Linked DNA regions of Arabidopsis thaliana. The protein of the gene in region 2 purifies or fractionates together with the protein of the main gene of each other region. This does not show direct contact. Each region holds a gene or a part of one and is shown on either strand. Other genes may lie near its edges. The genes, in order: AT3G02760, AT1G18130 and AT5G02680.

Region 1 (5,081 bases), on a different chromosome or scaffold from region 2:
GTTCCCTCTAGTGTGGACTAACACTTGTTGCAGCCATCCTCTTTACCGTGAATCAGAGCTTATCCAGGACAATGCACTAGGTGGGTATCTACTGGCAAAACAATTTAGTACTTCTTTTTACTATCTATGTAGAAAACTGTAGCTTTTCTCAACTAGTGACCTCACTGTTACTCATCAGGTGTGAGGAATGCTGCACAAAGAAAGCTTCTCGATGAGCTTGGTATTGTAGCTGAAGATGTACCAGTCGATGAGTTCACTCCCTTGGGACGTATGCTGTACAAGGCTCCTTCTGATGGCAAATGGGGAGAGCATGAACGTAAATACCATTTCTCAAGACTCTTGGTTCCCATTTTCTTGAACAGAATAATAAAACCTTAAGCTTCTTCTGTGTTGGCCTTCCTTTTGCAGTTGATTACTTGCTCTTCATCGTGCGAGACGTGAAGGTTCAACCAAACCCAGATGAAGTAGCTGAGATCAAGTATGTGAGCCGGGAAGAGCTGAAGGAGCTGGTGAAGAAAGCAGATGCAGGTGAGGAAGGTTTGAAACTGTCACCATGGTTCAGATTGGTGGTGGACAATTTCTTGATGAAGTGGTGGGATCATGTTGAGAAAGGAACTTTGGTTGAAGCTATAGACATGAAAACCATCCACAAACTCTGAACATCTTTTTTTAAAGTTTTTAAATCAATCAACTTTCTCTTCATCATTTTTATCTTTTCGATGATAATAATTTGGGATATGTGAGACACTTACAAAACTTCCAAGCACCTCAGGCAATAATAAAGTTTTCGTTTTTATCTTAATTAATGAATGAATGTCACAAAGTTTGTGAGATGTACAAAAAGCGTCGAGGAAAAGGATAACAAGGAAACAGAGTCGAAACCAGAGAAAAGGCAACGCAAAGATTCCTTTTTTCGAAGCTTAACGACAACCCACCTTCCATCTGATTTAAGTAAAGTTAAAAGTCACTAATTTAATATTATTGAACGACCGAAACAAGTATGTTGATGACTTTGTTCTCCTTTAAATTATCATCACTTCATTTCTCAGAGATTTACGCACACAGAGTTCTCTTCTTCGTCCTAGTTTCTTCTATTCCAGGTAAATGAAATAAGATTCGATCAAAACCCAGATGGATTTTGAAATAGTTTTCTTGTGAATTGAATGAAAAGTGTGTATCTTTCCTTCTGGGTTTTGATTGATTGACTGAGAATATATATGATCACTTTATCTAGACTAATCTCGATTTGTCTTTTGCTTTCTGTGTTTGAGTAATTTCTCGTAAATCTCATATAATCAAATCCCCAGATTACTTGTTTTGATCATAATTCTTGATTCAGGTGAGAAGAAAAAATGGCGTTTGTGACCACTGCGGAAGTGTGTGACGCGAATCAAGAGATGATTCGAAGTGGCCAGCTCCGAGCTCTGCAACCCGTTTTTCAGATTTATGGTCGTCGTCAAATATTTTCAGGTCCAGTAGTTACTGTTAAAGTCTTTGAAGACAATGGCTTAATCCGTCACTTCCTCGAAGAGAAAGGTATTAATGATTCTTGCTTATAAAATTCAAAAGACTGAAACTTTACTCGTAGAGCTATGAACTTTCAGAGTATCTTTGACATGGTTTATTGGTATTGTTACATTTTAGATTCAATTCTTGTGTTACTTACTTGTCAAATAGTTTCAATTGTTCTTTGCTTGAAACTATGTTTGAAGAAGTCTTAAGATCATCTCTCTATGATTTAGAACTACTGCTCAGTGTTTATATACTTCTTCAGTCACTTTGCTAATCAAGTTCTTGAATACTAGAGACGAGATAGGTCTTTCAAAAACCCGAGTCAATAAACCAATCTGTTCTCTGTAGCATTCACATCAAAAGCTCAATAATGTTTTAAATGTTAAAACAGGCAATGGTAGAGTTCTTGTGGTGGATGGTGGAGGGAGTTTACGCTGTGCGATACTAGGAGGAAACCCGGTCGTACAAGCGCAGAACAACGGATGGGCAGGGATCATAGTGAATGGATGCATCAGAGACGTTGATGAGATCAATGGTTGCGACATTGGAGTGAGAGCTTTAGCTTCTCATCCAATAAAGGCTAGTAAGAAAGGACTTGGTGAACAAAGAGTCTCTTTGAACATTGCAGGCACTCGGATATGCGATGGCGAATGGCTTTATGCAGATACTGATGGTATCCTTGTTTCTCAGATTGAATTATCCGTTTAAAAGGACACAAGTGATGTTGTTGATTTGTTAAAATCTGTAAGCTACTACTTTTGTGCTTTGTGTTTCTGTAATGGCTATCAGAGTAAAAGTTGGCTTCTTTGAATATGATTATTGAACTATTGAATCCGTTTCGAGTTGATAAAAAAAAACATTTCGTAAAGTGAAAATTGCAAAAAGATCCTTGAAGTATCCATACAAGCATTTTTCGTAGATCAATTTCCAATAACTGGATACTTCGAGGGTCATTTTGCAGTTTACCAATTTTCTAAATCCGCCTTCTTGCAATTTCACAGTGCTTCGTTTTAGGTCAAACACAACGAAAGACAGAAAACCCTAATCACTCCGGCTTCAGCTCTGTGTGTGATAATGGCGGCGGAGAGATCGTCCATCACTCTCGGAGGGAAAGGTTCTTCTTTATCTTCTTCCTCCGTTTACAATGTTGCTTCCGGCGTCGCTAATGTTCGAATTGACTCTTCTGCGATCGAGAGATTCTCCACTAGAAACGTTCCATCGATCAAAAGGAGCTCCTTTGGTATCCCTCAAGGGTTAACGAACGAAGAAACTCGAGCTTCTCTGGCTGTTCTCTTAAACAAGCTTATTTTGTCGACTTCTGGTCCTCCTTCTTCATCCACCGCTCGTTCTGTTCTTCCGCTTAAGATTGTTGAGATTCTGAATTTGAAGGCTGAGAGTTTGGAATTGGGTGAGATTGATGTGACAGAAGGGGAAAACATTGTGTTGGAGAAGTCGTGTGCTTCGTTGATTGGGATTTGTTCTATTATAGATCACAAATCGACGACTCTTTCACAGATTGTGGATTCTGTTGCTGCGTTGAGTTGTGAGGTTACAAAGGCTGATATAGCTTCGTTTAGCTTGTTGGATTCAGGAGATGGGAATGGTGATAAAGATGTGATTGGTGTTGCTGGTGATCTCAAGGTTTTGCTTAACGGGTATAAAGGTACAGGGAAATTAGAAATAGAAGAGATTTCGAAAATCCCTTGGATTCATGGGAAATTCAGGTATGTGGTGAAAAGCGTGCACGCGGATGCTAGGAGAGAATTGAATTCCGGTGTTAAAGGAGGCAAAACTGGGTCTGGAAACACTGGGATTGGTGAGGCTTTAGGAACAACATTGTTACCTTTGTTAACGGCGATTAAAAACTTGGGAGTGTGTTCGTTCCTTCGTGCTAAGCTTTGTTTTGAGAAGATTGTGGATGAGAATCTGAAGAAATGTTTATCTGAAAAGATCTGTGTTGAGAATGAGAATCTAAAGAATAGCTATAAGTTAGCTTATACTGCTCATTTGGAAGAGGATTACTGCAGGTTTGCTCACAAACTGAATGAGTGTCTGGGAATTGTATGGAGAATTGTTGGTTTGGAGGCAGTTGCTGCCTTTTTTGCTCTTGCTGGTGGAGAATTGTTTGTTCAGAAGAGCGGAGATGCGGACAAAGAAGAGTCGAAGACCGATAAGAAAAAGAAGAAGAATGAGAAAAAAGCAGTTGTGGGAAAGGGGACAAGCCTAGTTATCCAGTTTATCAAAGATAGATTGGTGAGTAATGACGCAGCAAGTGATGGTGACCAGATGCATTCATTGATGCAATGTGGGGAGCAAATCTTAAATCTTTTCAACCCAGAGGGTCGCAGTTTTGATAGCTTGTTGGATAAAGTGAAAGAGATTGTAGAAAGTAATGAAAATAGGAGACTTCCCAAGCTTCCAAAGGTAAATTACAATCTCGTATATGGAGAAGGTTTAGGCCTCAGAGTTAATTTCTGATTTGTTTCATTCTATGACAGGGAACTCGAGATTTCGCTAAAGAACAAATGGCAGTCCGAGAAAAAGCCTTTTCAATCATACAAAACGTTTTCAAGAGGCATGGTGCAACTGCACTTGATACTCCTGTTTTTGAATTGAGAGAGACCCTTATGGGAAAGTACGGAGAAGACTCGAAATTGGTTTATGATATTGCTGATCAGGTAGAACTCTTCTTGGCTGCTGTAATATCATCAGTTTATGTGATGATTTGTTTGTCAAAATTTGAGCTCATATGGATCTATTAATTGCAGGGTGGAGAGCTTTGCTCTTTACGATATGATCTAACTGTTCCATTTGCACGGTATGTGGCTATGAATGGAATCACATCATTCAAAAGATACCAAATAGCAAAGGTGTACAGAAGGGATAATCCATCTAAAGGGAGATACAGAGAGTTTTATCAGTGTGATTTTGATATCGCTGGTTTGTTCGAACCAATGGGACCCGATTTTGAAATTGTCAAGATATTAACTGAACTCCTCGATGAGTTAGAAATAGGAGATTATGAGGTAATAACTTAAGTTGAAAGTCTTAATCTTTCCTGGTTGGTTTTTTCTTTGGCTATGTTCTTAATTCTGGTTTGTTTAAATAGGTGAAACTGAATCACCGCAAGTTGCTTGATGGAATGCTGGAGATATGTGGAGTACCACCTGAGAAATTCAGAACCATCTGTTCGAGTATCGACAAGCTAGACAAGCAATCGTTTGAGCAAGTGAAGAAAGAAATGGTGGAGGAGAAGGGCTTGTCTTCAGAGATTGCAGACAGAATTGGCAACTTCGTTAAGGAGAAGGGAGCTCCTTTGGAGCTGTTGTCTAAACTGAGACAAGAAGGGAGTGAGTTCTTAGATAACCAGTCATCAAGAGAAGCTCTTGATGAGTTGAGTATCATGTTTGAAGCTCTTAAAAGATCAAAGTGCAGTGAGAGAATAGTCTTTGATCTAAGTCTAGCTAGAGGTCTTGATTACTACACCGGCGTCATCTTTGAAGCTGTTTGTATAGGAGCAGAGGTAAAATCCCGCATTTTGGCTTCCTGCAATTCAATTAAAGAAATTG
Region 2 (5,081 bases):
ATTAAAATTAATTGTTTAAAAAAAGAAAAAAGGATAGAGTATTTTTCAAATGAAAACCCAAAAAGAAGGAATTTTTCAAAATTTACTCTTATATAATTCACTATACATATACATACTAACATTTTTAAATTTGCAGTTGTTACACTCTTTAAAAGCGAGTAAATTCGCGATTCAATTGCTAGCTCGTTGGGTTGCTTACCAATATCGAGACAAGAATACAAGACAGGGCAACGAGTGTTACGAGCCACTCAACGATTTAGTCAAACAACACAACGAGAAGATTGGTCCAATGTTGAACGACCTTGCTAAAACAAATCCCGGACGGACGTCACAACACTGAGAAGGCACAATGCTCATCTTTTCTTTGGAGCTGACGCTAACGTCGTTCAGCCAATGACCCTTCGTGAGCTTATTGTCTATCCTATTAATGAGCCTATGCGTGAGTATTGGCAACCAATCGGCTCCACCATCACAACTGATGGGTAAAGACGTACGACTATACTAATTATAATGTTTTCTCTTCTTGTTCTCTTGTCTTTTATTTATAAATAACTAGATAAGACCCGCCTAAATAGGCGGGTGTAAGATGTAAATGTAATTTTTATCGATAATATTTAAATTTTGAATAGTAAAATAATAGTCGATACATTGTTCTTATAATTTTGAATAGTAAAATAGTAGTCTTATGCATTTTATTTTGTTATACCCATTCAGTCTTATTGATGATATTTGAAGTCTAAATAGTAACCTACACACTTTTTTATATTATAATTTAGTATTTAGAAGAAAAAATAAATTTTTATCTTATACATTCAATTTTGTAATACAATTTAACTATCTATTTCATAAAAAACTCGATTTTAATTCTACACACTTCATCTTACTTGATAATGATTTCATGTCAAAATAATATATATATATATATATATATGAGATCAAATCTATATCTTAGTTAATATTAAAATTATTAACAATTAACAAAACATAATTCATAATAATAAAACATTTGCTAATACCATATATATTAAAAATTTGACCAATAACATATATAATTTTTTTTTTTTGTTAATTTTCCTTTTGGTTAAGAAAAATAAAATGTAATATTTTTTAGATATAGACATATGAATTAGTATATGTTAATAATGATTTATTTTTTAGTTTTCTATTTCTTTAAGAAGAAAAAAGTTAATTGATTTCTTTTTAAGTATTTCTATTTCTTTAAGAAGAAAAAAGTTAATTATTTTCTTACACATGTCAACATCTGATTGATAGATTTGACACGTGGCAAAATCGTATGAGTTAGTAACTTTGAAAACCATACTTTATATAATAAGATATTAAAAATTATTAACAATTAACAAAACATAATTCATAATAATAAAACATTTGTTAATACCATATATATTAAAAATTTGACCAATAACATATATAATTTTTTTTTTTGTTAATTTTCCTTTTGGTTAAGAAAAATAAAATGTAAGATTTTTTAGATATAGAAATATGAATTAGTATATGTTAATAATGATTTATTTTTTAGTTTTCTATTTCTTTAAGAAGAAAAAAGTTAATTGATTTCTTTTTTAGTATTTCTATTTCTTTAAGAAGAAAAAAGTTAATTATTTTCTTACACATGTCAACATCTGATCGATAGACTTGACATGTGGCATAATCTTATGAGTTAGTAACTTTGAAAACCATACTTCATATAATAAGATTTGTCGTTTACAATAATATAAGATGCATGCTTGTTGACAAAAGAAAGCAAGTTCGAAATATGTTAGAATAGAGCTATTTTAAAGGTTTCTTCTGGATCGTTTGAAATATACAAGATCGTTCGAAGGCACAATGCTCATCTTTTCTGTAGAGATATATCGTTTGCAATATACAAGATTGTTAACCTAATTAAGCTCATATTTGATAAGTTGAAGTGTTCGACAATCTTCTTTATTGTTTCCATTCTTGTCTTTTCTTCCTTTATTTTATTATTATTTTTTCTATAGTGTCTAATCTTTTTTCTTTCTTTACAACAATTCTGTTCCATTTTATTTTAGGGGTTTAATTAGAAAATTTGGTATTTTAATAATTATTTTTTAGTTGAAATATTTTAATAATGAATTAAATGAGTACTATTTTATAAAATGTTGAAAAAATACCTTAGATATATTTCCCAATATGTATAGATATAATTATATCTTTATGTTCTTTTTGGGGCAAAAAATCTACATTTTCTATACTAATCGTTTATTGCTTTAATTATAATAAACTATAAATGGTTGTTATGAAATAGTAATAACTTGTTAGTTTCATAATAATTTAAAGTTAATATATTAAAATATCAAAAATTCCTATTTGTTGGGAAAAAAGACACCCCCATGGCCCATAGTACGCTTCAAAATTAAAAACAAGGTCTCCCTCCCTGAAACTCCAAAGTCCGAAACTAAAACCTATCGACGTCCGTCTCACAACTTTTTACAAATTTCTCATCGTCTTCGTTCTCTGCTGCTCCACCAATGTCGAAGAATCATCCCGATGAGGATGAAACAAACCTATCCTCTGCCGTGAACCTCAATTTATAGGATGTATCTTTGAAAAAACATTCAGAATTTTTTGGGCCCTTTTCAATAGCATTTTTTTTGACAAAGCGCAATGTTAAATACGAGGATTGGGGCTAACCTTCACCAGTTTGACGAGCTTGTGTGGATTACGTAAGCGTACCTCGCGGTTTATGTCGAAGAATAGTTCCTTAGTCACATACATCCCTTATTTGGCGTTTGCGAGTTTCTTGCAATAGTAAATTACCGTCTCAACGGCAGAGCCGGTCTGTCATGCAAAAATGCCTTATGAAAATAAACAAATTGTGTCTTTTATTTGTTTGCATAATCACAAATAATAATAATATATAAAAGTTATACTAAAACTTTATAGAACATTTTTTATAACATTTTATAAGCGTTTTGTAAGTAAAAAAGAGGGAAAAAAACAAAATTATATTTTTAAATATAGCTCTATTTAGATTTTTGCCTACAAAACTATTCATCAAATTCACGTAATCGAGTTTTTCAAACATTGTTGTCTTAATGGATAATAAAGTCAATTCATTTCTTTGATTAATCAAAACAATTTTTTTTGTTATGTAAACAAAGTTCAACCACTTTACATTAGAAAGTTGAAAAATTCTTTCTAATGCCCTTTTCATAATGCCCCTTTTCAACTCTACCCTTTTGTTTTATCCATTTTCATTTATACCCTCTTTAAATTTTTAATGACCATTTTACCCCTATTTAAAAATTATTTTAGGTTAACAAAATAAAATATTAATATTTTTTCGTCTAAAATATTCTAAAATAAATTTCCCGCCAAAATTTTCCCGCAAAACTTTTTCGAAAAAAAAATTCCCGCCAAATTTTTTTTTCAAAAATTTCTTTCCCGCATTTTTTTTTTTGGCGGGAAATAGATTTACAAGGGATTTTAAAAGGGTTTTAAAAGATTTACAAGGGATTTTAAAAGGAGTTTTAAAAGATTTACAAGAGATTTTAAAAGATTTACAAGGGATTTTAAAAGGTTTTTAACAGATTTACAAGGGATTTTAAAAGGTTTTTAACAGATTTACAAGGGATTTTAAAAGGGTTTTAAAATATTTAAAAGGAATTTTAAAGGGCTTTAAAAGATTAACAAAGGTTTTTTTAAAATTTTTAAAGGGTTTAAAGTGTTTTAAAAGATTTATAAGGGATTTTAAAAAATTTACAAAGGTTTTTTAAAGGGTTTAAAAGTGTTTTAAAAGATTTATAAGGAATTTTAAAAGATTTACAAGATATTTTTAAAGGGTTTAAATGAGTTTTAAAAGATGTACAAGGGTTTTTAAAAGATTTTCAAAGAATTTACAAGAAGATCCTTTAAAATCCATTGTAAATCTTTTAAAACCTTTTTTAAATCCCTTGTAAATCTTTTAAAACCCTTTTAAAATATCTTGTAAATCTTTTAAAACCCTTTTAAAATCCCTTGTAAATTTATTTCTAGCCAAAAAAAATTTACAAGGATTTTTAAAAGCATTTTTTCGGCTGAGAAAATATTTGTTACGAAAAAAAATTTGGTGGGAATTTTTTTTTTAGCGGGAAAAAAGTTTGGCGGAAATATTTTTTTGGCGGAAAAAAAAATTTTTGGCGCCAAAAAATCGGCGGGAAAAATAATTTTGGCGCCAAAAATCGGCGGGAAAAATAAATTTTGGCGCCAAAAAATTGGCGGAAAAAATTCAGTTTCCAATTACATGTTCCTATTAGATGAGGGTAATATAATCATTTTGTTCAAGGGAAGGGATATTTTTAAAAATGAACAACATAATAGGGTATTGTTACAAAATGGTAGTAAATAAATGGTAGTTTTACAAATCTCCCAATTTTTTATTTTTAATCAAAGTTTTAGAATTTAACGTTTTATTTTTCTTAAATAAACTAAACTAAATTCATTAAGAAAACATTTTATTAATTTAAAGATGTTAAAGAAAGATAGTGAATGAAAAGCTTAACAAAAGTAAATATATAGAAAATGCCTATATTTGTTTTTATTTAAAACATAAAAGAAAGTGCCTATATTCCAGTGTGCTACTATACAGGTTTGGCTCCCAAACTCTTTTTTTTTTTTTTTTTTCTATTCCCTGCATTTCTCTTGGCAGTTTATTTAGTGTGTCGTTTCTGCTGTTGCCTAATATCAGGTTGATTTTCACCTTCGTGATCGCTTCAAACTAGAATATTCAGCTGAGAATGAAACTATGATAGAGAGATCTGTGCTGATACATAGAGCGGTGTTGAGCTCTGTTGAGCGTCTTTTTGCCATATTGTTGGAACAGTACAAAGGAAAATTCCCCTTCTGGCTTAGTCCCCGCCAGGCCATAGTTTGCTCTGTTTCAGAGGATTATCGTTCCTACGCAGACAAGGTTATACATTCATGACTGTACTCTTAACGAGTTTACTTGCAGAGTCTTATTATATCTCTCTTCCTAATTTCCTTTGTTTGCGTATATTCAAACAGGTGAGAGATCAAATTCACGAAGCTGGCTACTATGTTGATGTTGACACAACGGATAG
Region 3 (5,081 bases), on a different chromosome or scaffold from region 2:
GAAAAAGGAGAAGGATGAAACGAAGCAGGTTCTTGCAACTCTTCTACCTGAAACATCACCAGAATTTTATGTAGCACATATAGATATCCTAAGTAAGCTGACGGATGACGACGACATTTTAGCTTCCATTGGTAATCTCTTCTCAGGGGTCCTAGAAGAGGTTAGCTTCTAACAGCTCCTAAATCTTCCTTTTTTAAACCTGTTAAACCCTTTTTTAACCTAGGACAATTCCTTTTGCTGCAGGTTGCTGAAACTGACTCTAGTATCCTCTTGATTGAAAAGTCAAGGATTGCTCTACTTGGTGAGCTCAACCAACTAGCGTTTTTTGACTACAGATCTTATGTTGCTAGACACCTCAAAAAGTTTCTGTTAACCAAGCTCTGAGTGAGAGAGGTTTTTTACCATATTTGATTTGTGTTTGAGTGAGAGAGATATGTTCATTTTTCACTTTTTACAAACCAACAAGTTTAGAGTTACCAAATATTGATTTCTGACTCAAAAATAACTTGGTCTCTGTGAATGTGTGTTGTTTTTGCTGCTGGTTTGGATTAGTGCTCTTGCTATAGCTTTGAAAAGGTCTCGTTATGATGATCTTCACTGAAGTTACACGACTCTATAGCTAGCTTGGAACTATGCTTGAAACAGTTGATTTCATTTGTTGTTTAATCTCAAAACTATATCTATATATACATATATGAAGCTACGGATATTTGAAAACATATACAAAACACTAGGACCAACCTAACAAGTCTTTAGAGAGTCTGTCTCCACTGATCCAACCCTAGCTTCCACTGTTGAGATTCTTCAGAGAGAGTCTGTCTCCACTGATCCAACCCTAGCTTCCACTGTTGAGATTCTTCAGAGAGAGTCTGTCTCCACAGATTCAATGTCCGGAGCATTTCTGGTTCTGCGCTGTAATCCCCAGTAAAAGACAATAATGTGTGGCTGCTTTGTAATAGGTTTCTCTTAGTTCCCAGTTTCCACAATACATAGATATCTTCCCAGATTTCTCCAACCAACAGGTCTTTGTCACCTTCTTGCTTCTGTTGTTGCTAGCACACTCACCATTCTTAGGCAGCTGAGATGCTTTCAAAACCGATGACTGGATTCTGCCAACTGGTCCCTGGAAGCAGGAAGCTGTTGAGATTCTGCAGAGAGAGTCTGTCTCCACAGATTCAATGTCCGGAGCATTTCTGGTTCTGCGCTGTAATCCCCAGTAAAAGACAATAATGTGTGGCTGCTTTGTAATAGGTTTCTCTTAGTTCCCAGTTTCCACAACACATAGATATCTTCCCAGATTTCTCCAACCAACAGGTCTTTGTCACCTTCTTGCTTCTGTTGTTGCTAGCACACTCACCATTCTTAGGCAGCTGAGATGCTTTCAAAACCGATGACTGGATTCTGCCAACTGGTCCCTGGAAGCAGGAAGCTGTTGAGATTCTGCAGAGAGAGTCTGTCTCCACAGATTCAGTGTCCGGAACATTTATGGTTCTGAGCTGAAATCCCCAGTAAAAGACAATAACATTTGGCTGCTTTGTAATAGGTTTCTTTTAGTTCCCAGTTTCCACAACACATAGATATCTTCTCAGATTCTCCAACAGGTCTTGTCACCTTTGTAATAGGTTTCTTTTAGTTCCCAGTTTCCACAACACATAGATATCTTACCAGAATCTCCAAGCAACAGGTCTTTGTCACCTTCTTGCTTCTGTTGTTGCTAGCACACTCACAATTCTTAGGTAGCTGAGATGCTTTCAAAACCGATAACTGGATTCTACCAACTGGTCCCAGGAAGCTTCCATTGTTGAGATTCAGTGAGGTGTAATCCCCAGTAAAAGACAATAATGTGTGGCTGCTTTGCTCTGATGGGTTTGGATCACAAAAATGCCATAGACTTCCTGTATTTCAATAACATGTGGAACAAAGCAAAGGCTACAGTCACAGACTATGAGACAGAACACAGAAGATTTCGTATCCCCAAAGAGTTGAACCAAAAGATGGGAAGTGGGTAACTTGATCAGAAGACAACGGAAACGTGACTTAACCCAACCACTGAGATGTTCCTGATTAGCAGCCGAGAGGTGTACATGTGTTTGCATACGGATAGAGCTCAAACAAAATTCTTCATTCTCTGCAGAAGCCTGAGATGTTCTCCACGCAACCTGCATCATCTGTTGCAATTTCCAATAAGCTAGTTAGCCTCTGTGAAGCATTATGTCGAATAGGTGATATGCAACATTTTTGTTCTTGACACTTGGTGACCTCCTCATAGTAATCCGAGCCAATTCCGATGTGGGTTTTTCTTCGTGGTGAATAAAGAACCTATCAATGCCAAAACCAGAGAGTAAATCATCAAAAATTAGGACATGTGATTGTGACTGTAATCGAAATCCAATGGTGAAGAAAACAAGTCCACGATGCTCCTTGAAAGATCGAATTCTCAATCTTCTGTTGTTGGAGAACACAAATCTGTCGCTAAGGTCAAAGCTTTTTCCTCCTCCTTCGATTGCTGTTCTAGACATGATGAATCAGAGTCTGTAATCGTTACTTTCTGTGGCTAGGAGCAGCGAATCCTGACCGTTGGATTGGTTTTTCTTTTTCTTTTTAATGTCCGTGATATTATTGTCTGAAGAAGAAAGAGAGACCAGTTTTGACTTTTGACTTCGAGTAATGAGAAGAAAAAGCACAGTGAGATTGCTGTTCTTGACGTTGAGTCAGAGTCTGTGGCTAGGAGCAGCTTCTTTTGTTTTTTGAATCGACAATGGTTGAGGAATAAACGAAATCCTGACCGTTGGATTTTTTCTTTTCTTTTCTTCTACTTAATAATGTCCGTGATATTATTATTGTCTAAAGGGGAGACCCGAGAAAGAGCGAGACCAGTTTTGACTTTTTGGACATTGTGTGTTTTCGATTCGATCTTTTTTTTCTGAAGGTATGCTTTTGAATTCGATTTTTTTTTTTTTTTCTCGAGATCTTTGCTTCGTGGTGTTTCCTTTGGACTTCGTTTGGTGATATTTCTGGGTTTCGTCTTTTGACGTTTTTTTTTTCTTCTCGATGAAATGTTTACTCAGCTGCCAAATTTCTCTGTTTGATATTGAGTGAGAGAGATTTGTTACTTTTTACAAAATCAACTAGTTTTAGGTTACCAAATTTGGTTTCGGTTTCGATGCTTAAACAATAACTTGGTGTAGTCGGTCTCTGTATGAATGTGTGTGTGTGTTGTTTTTGCTGCTGATTTGGATCTGTGCTTTTGTTATAGCGTTGAAAATGCCTCGTTATGATGACCTTTGAACACGGACTCGTTATATGCTAATTTGGAACTTTGCTTGAAACAGTTGATTTTTATCTGGATTTACATTTGATGTTTTATGCTTTTATCTCAAAACTCTGTATATATGAAGCTACGGATATTTGACCTCTGATATCCTATTTTGAAGTCTCAGCCTTGAGTGCACCACCTGCATGAGGATGTCATGAGATTTTTTTTTTTAGTGGTTTTTGAATCTTGTAACTACTAGTTGTTTTGGAGAAATTATGAGATTGTTCCTAAAATGTTTGGTAGCCCTTGTAATAAAGGTGTCAGCTTTGCTCTTGGGAAATGTTTTCGTTGGTCTTAGATGTTGGTAAATGCATGTTGCAGTTAACAATGCTGGTACTATCAATAAGAACACCAAGATTTGGGAAGTCTCTGCTGAAGATTTTGACAATGTCATCATGGTTAAAGGAGTAGCAAATGTGGCTGCGCCATTTTATCCCTTTGATGTTCCCACGGAAGCAAGAAATTACTGTAAATATGTCTTCTGGATGGTGGAAGATCTGGTGCTGCCCTGGTGAGTTTCATTGTGACTGTAATCCCCTTCATAGCCTGAAACCTCTACTCTGGTGCTGCCCTTGAAGACTTTGCCTTTGTCGTAAGTACTTCCACTTCATAGCCTGAAACCTCTACTCTTTCTTTTCCAGTGTGACTGTGATCCCCATGGATGTCTCTGTCCTTGAGGATCTTATCAGATAGAACACACAAAAAAGGTCTGTTTGGTTCTTGTCTTTTCTGAAGCTATATCCTCAAGGTCTTCTTAAGAAAGGTTTATCTTTTGTGAATTTGATTGTTTTCAACTGCTCATTTTTTTGTTTGTGCAGGTGATGGTTCCTTCTACGTGGCTTGGCACTGGGGAAAATTGGACACTGATGAAGACAATCAGAAAACTACGAAGACGGTCAGTTGATGTTTCACCATAGCTGAGTGTTTCTGTTTGATTTGCTTTTTTCTTCCATTTCTAGAAAATGAGGACATGTGTTTTGTATGGGTTTTCAGGAAAGTTCTCCAAGAGTTAAGGTGTTGGAGTGTTTGGTAATGAAGTAATAGATACAAATATACCTGTCCAAGTATGGAGATACTACTTGCTGACCAACAGGCCTGAAGTAACTGATCGCTGCCTTCTAGGTGTTTCTTCGTTCATCATAGGCATGCATAAACGTGTAAATGTCACCAACACTGGTTTGCTCTGGGGACTCTGCCTTCTAGGTGTCTGACACATTGTTTCCATGGAATGATTTGCAAGCAAAACTGAATGGCGAGTTTCTGAACAACCTAGGCAACTCTGTTAATCGAGCTCTGAGTTTTATAGCAAAGCACATGATAATGCAGGTTGGTTATACTTACTTTCAAATTCAATATTTTTAAGTATTTGGTGTTACCTGTAGATGGCTTTTTAGTTTGGCATATCCAAAAGAAAATATGGGATCTGTTGTATTCTTTTATTCAAACCAGCCAGTTGGTGTGTGCAAGTGAGAGATATTTGAATCGCAGGACATCAGACTATTGTAAAATGTTTGCTTGCGATTTTTGGTTTTCAATCTTTTTTTTGAACAAATAGGTAATTTAAAAACTTGAAAATGATAGAAAGGTGCATCTGGCTTGCAAGAGTCTTTACTATTATGATTATCCTGCTAAAGCTAATGTAACGCTCTCTGATAAGATTCCTCTCTTTGTAAGCTTATATGGACATGGAACGATTAACTGATAGAACATATAAAGATCGTTATACATGTATATGTATATCTGTTCATTCATACACTCTAGTGGA

The links.
Region 1: the proteins of AT1G18130 (region 2) and AT3G02760 fractionate together in Arabidopsis thaliana (co-fractionation; one large-scale study listed by BioGRID). This does not show direct contact.
Region 3: the proteins of AT1G18130 (region 2) and AT5G02680 fractionate together in Arabidopsis thaliana (co-fractionation; one large-scale study listed by BioGRID). This does not show direct contact.

What each region holds. Positions count from the first base shown.
Region 1 is NC_003074.8:598,156-603,236, reverse strand, and holds the start of AT3G02760 (Class II aaRS and biotin synthetases superfamily protein), read left to right. Parts: upstream 1-2,453; 5' UTR 2,454-2,586; coding exon 2,587-3,936; intron 3,937-4,010; coding exon 4,011-4,190; intron 4,191-4,280; coding exon 4,281-4,538; intron 4,539-4,621; coding exon 4,622-5,035; intron 5,036-5,081. Other genes in the region: IPP2 (isopentenyl pyrophosphate:dimethylallyl pyrophosphate isomerase 2), read left to right, coding at 1-80, 179-316, 409-659; AT3G02770 (Ribonuclease E inhibitor RraA/Dimethylmenaquinone methyltransferase), read left to right, coding at 1,353-1,536, 1,904-2,220.
Region 2 is NC_003070.9:6,233,385-6,238,465, forward strand, and holds the start of AT1G18130 (Class II aaRS and biotin synthetases superfamily protein), read left to right. Parts: upstream 1-2,510; coding exon 2,511-2,558; intron 2,559-4,708; coding exon 4,709-4,930; intron 4,931-5,025; coding exon 5,026-5,081.
Region 3 is NC_003076.8:602,088-607,168, forward strand, and holds the start of AT5G02680 (methionine-tRNA ligase), read left to right. Parts: upstream 1-2,830; 5' UTR 2,831-2,929; intron 2,930-3,637; 5' UTR 3,638-3,827; intron 3,828-3,957; 5' UTR 3,958-3,977; coding exon 3,978-4,023; intron 4,024-4,134; coding exon 4,135-4,211; intron 4,212-4,309; coding exon 4,310-4,345; intron 4,346-4,519; coding exon 4,520-4,642; intron 4,643-5,081. Other genes in the region: AT5G02660 (ubiquitin carboxyl-terminal hydrolase-like protein, putative (DUF627 and DUF629)), read left to right, coding at 1-160, 244-384; AT5G02670 (uncharacterized protein), read right to left, coding at 884-1,204, 1,326-1,496, 1,666-1,895, 2,033-2,159, 2,250-2,519.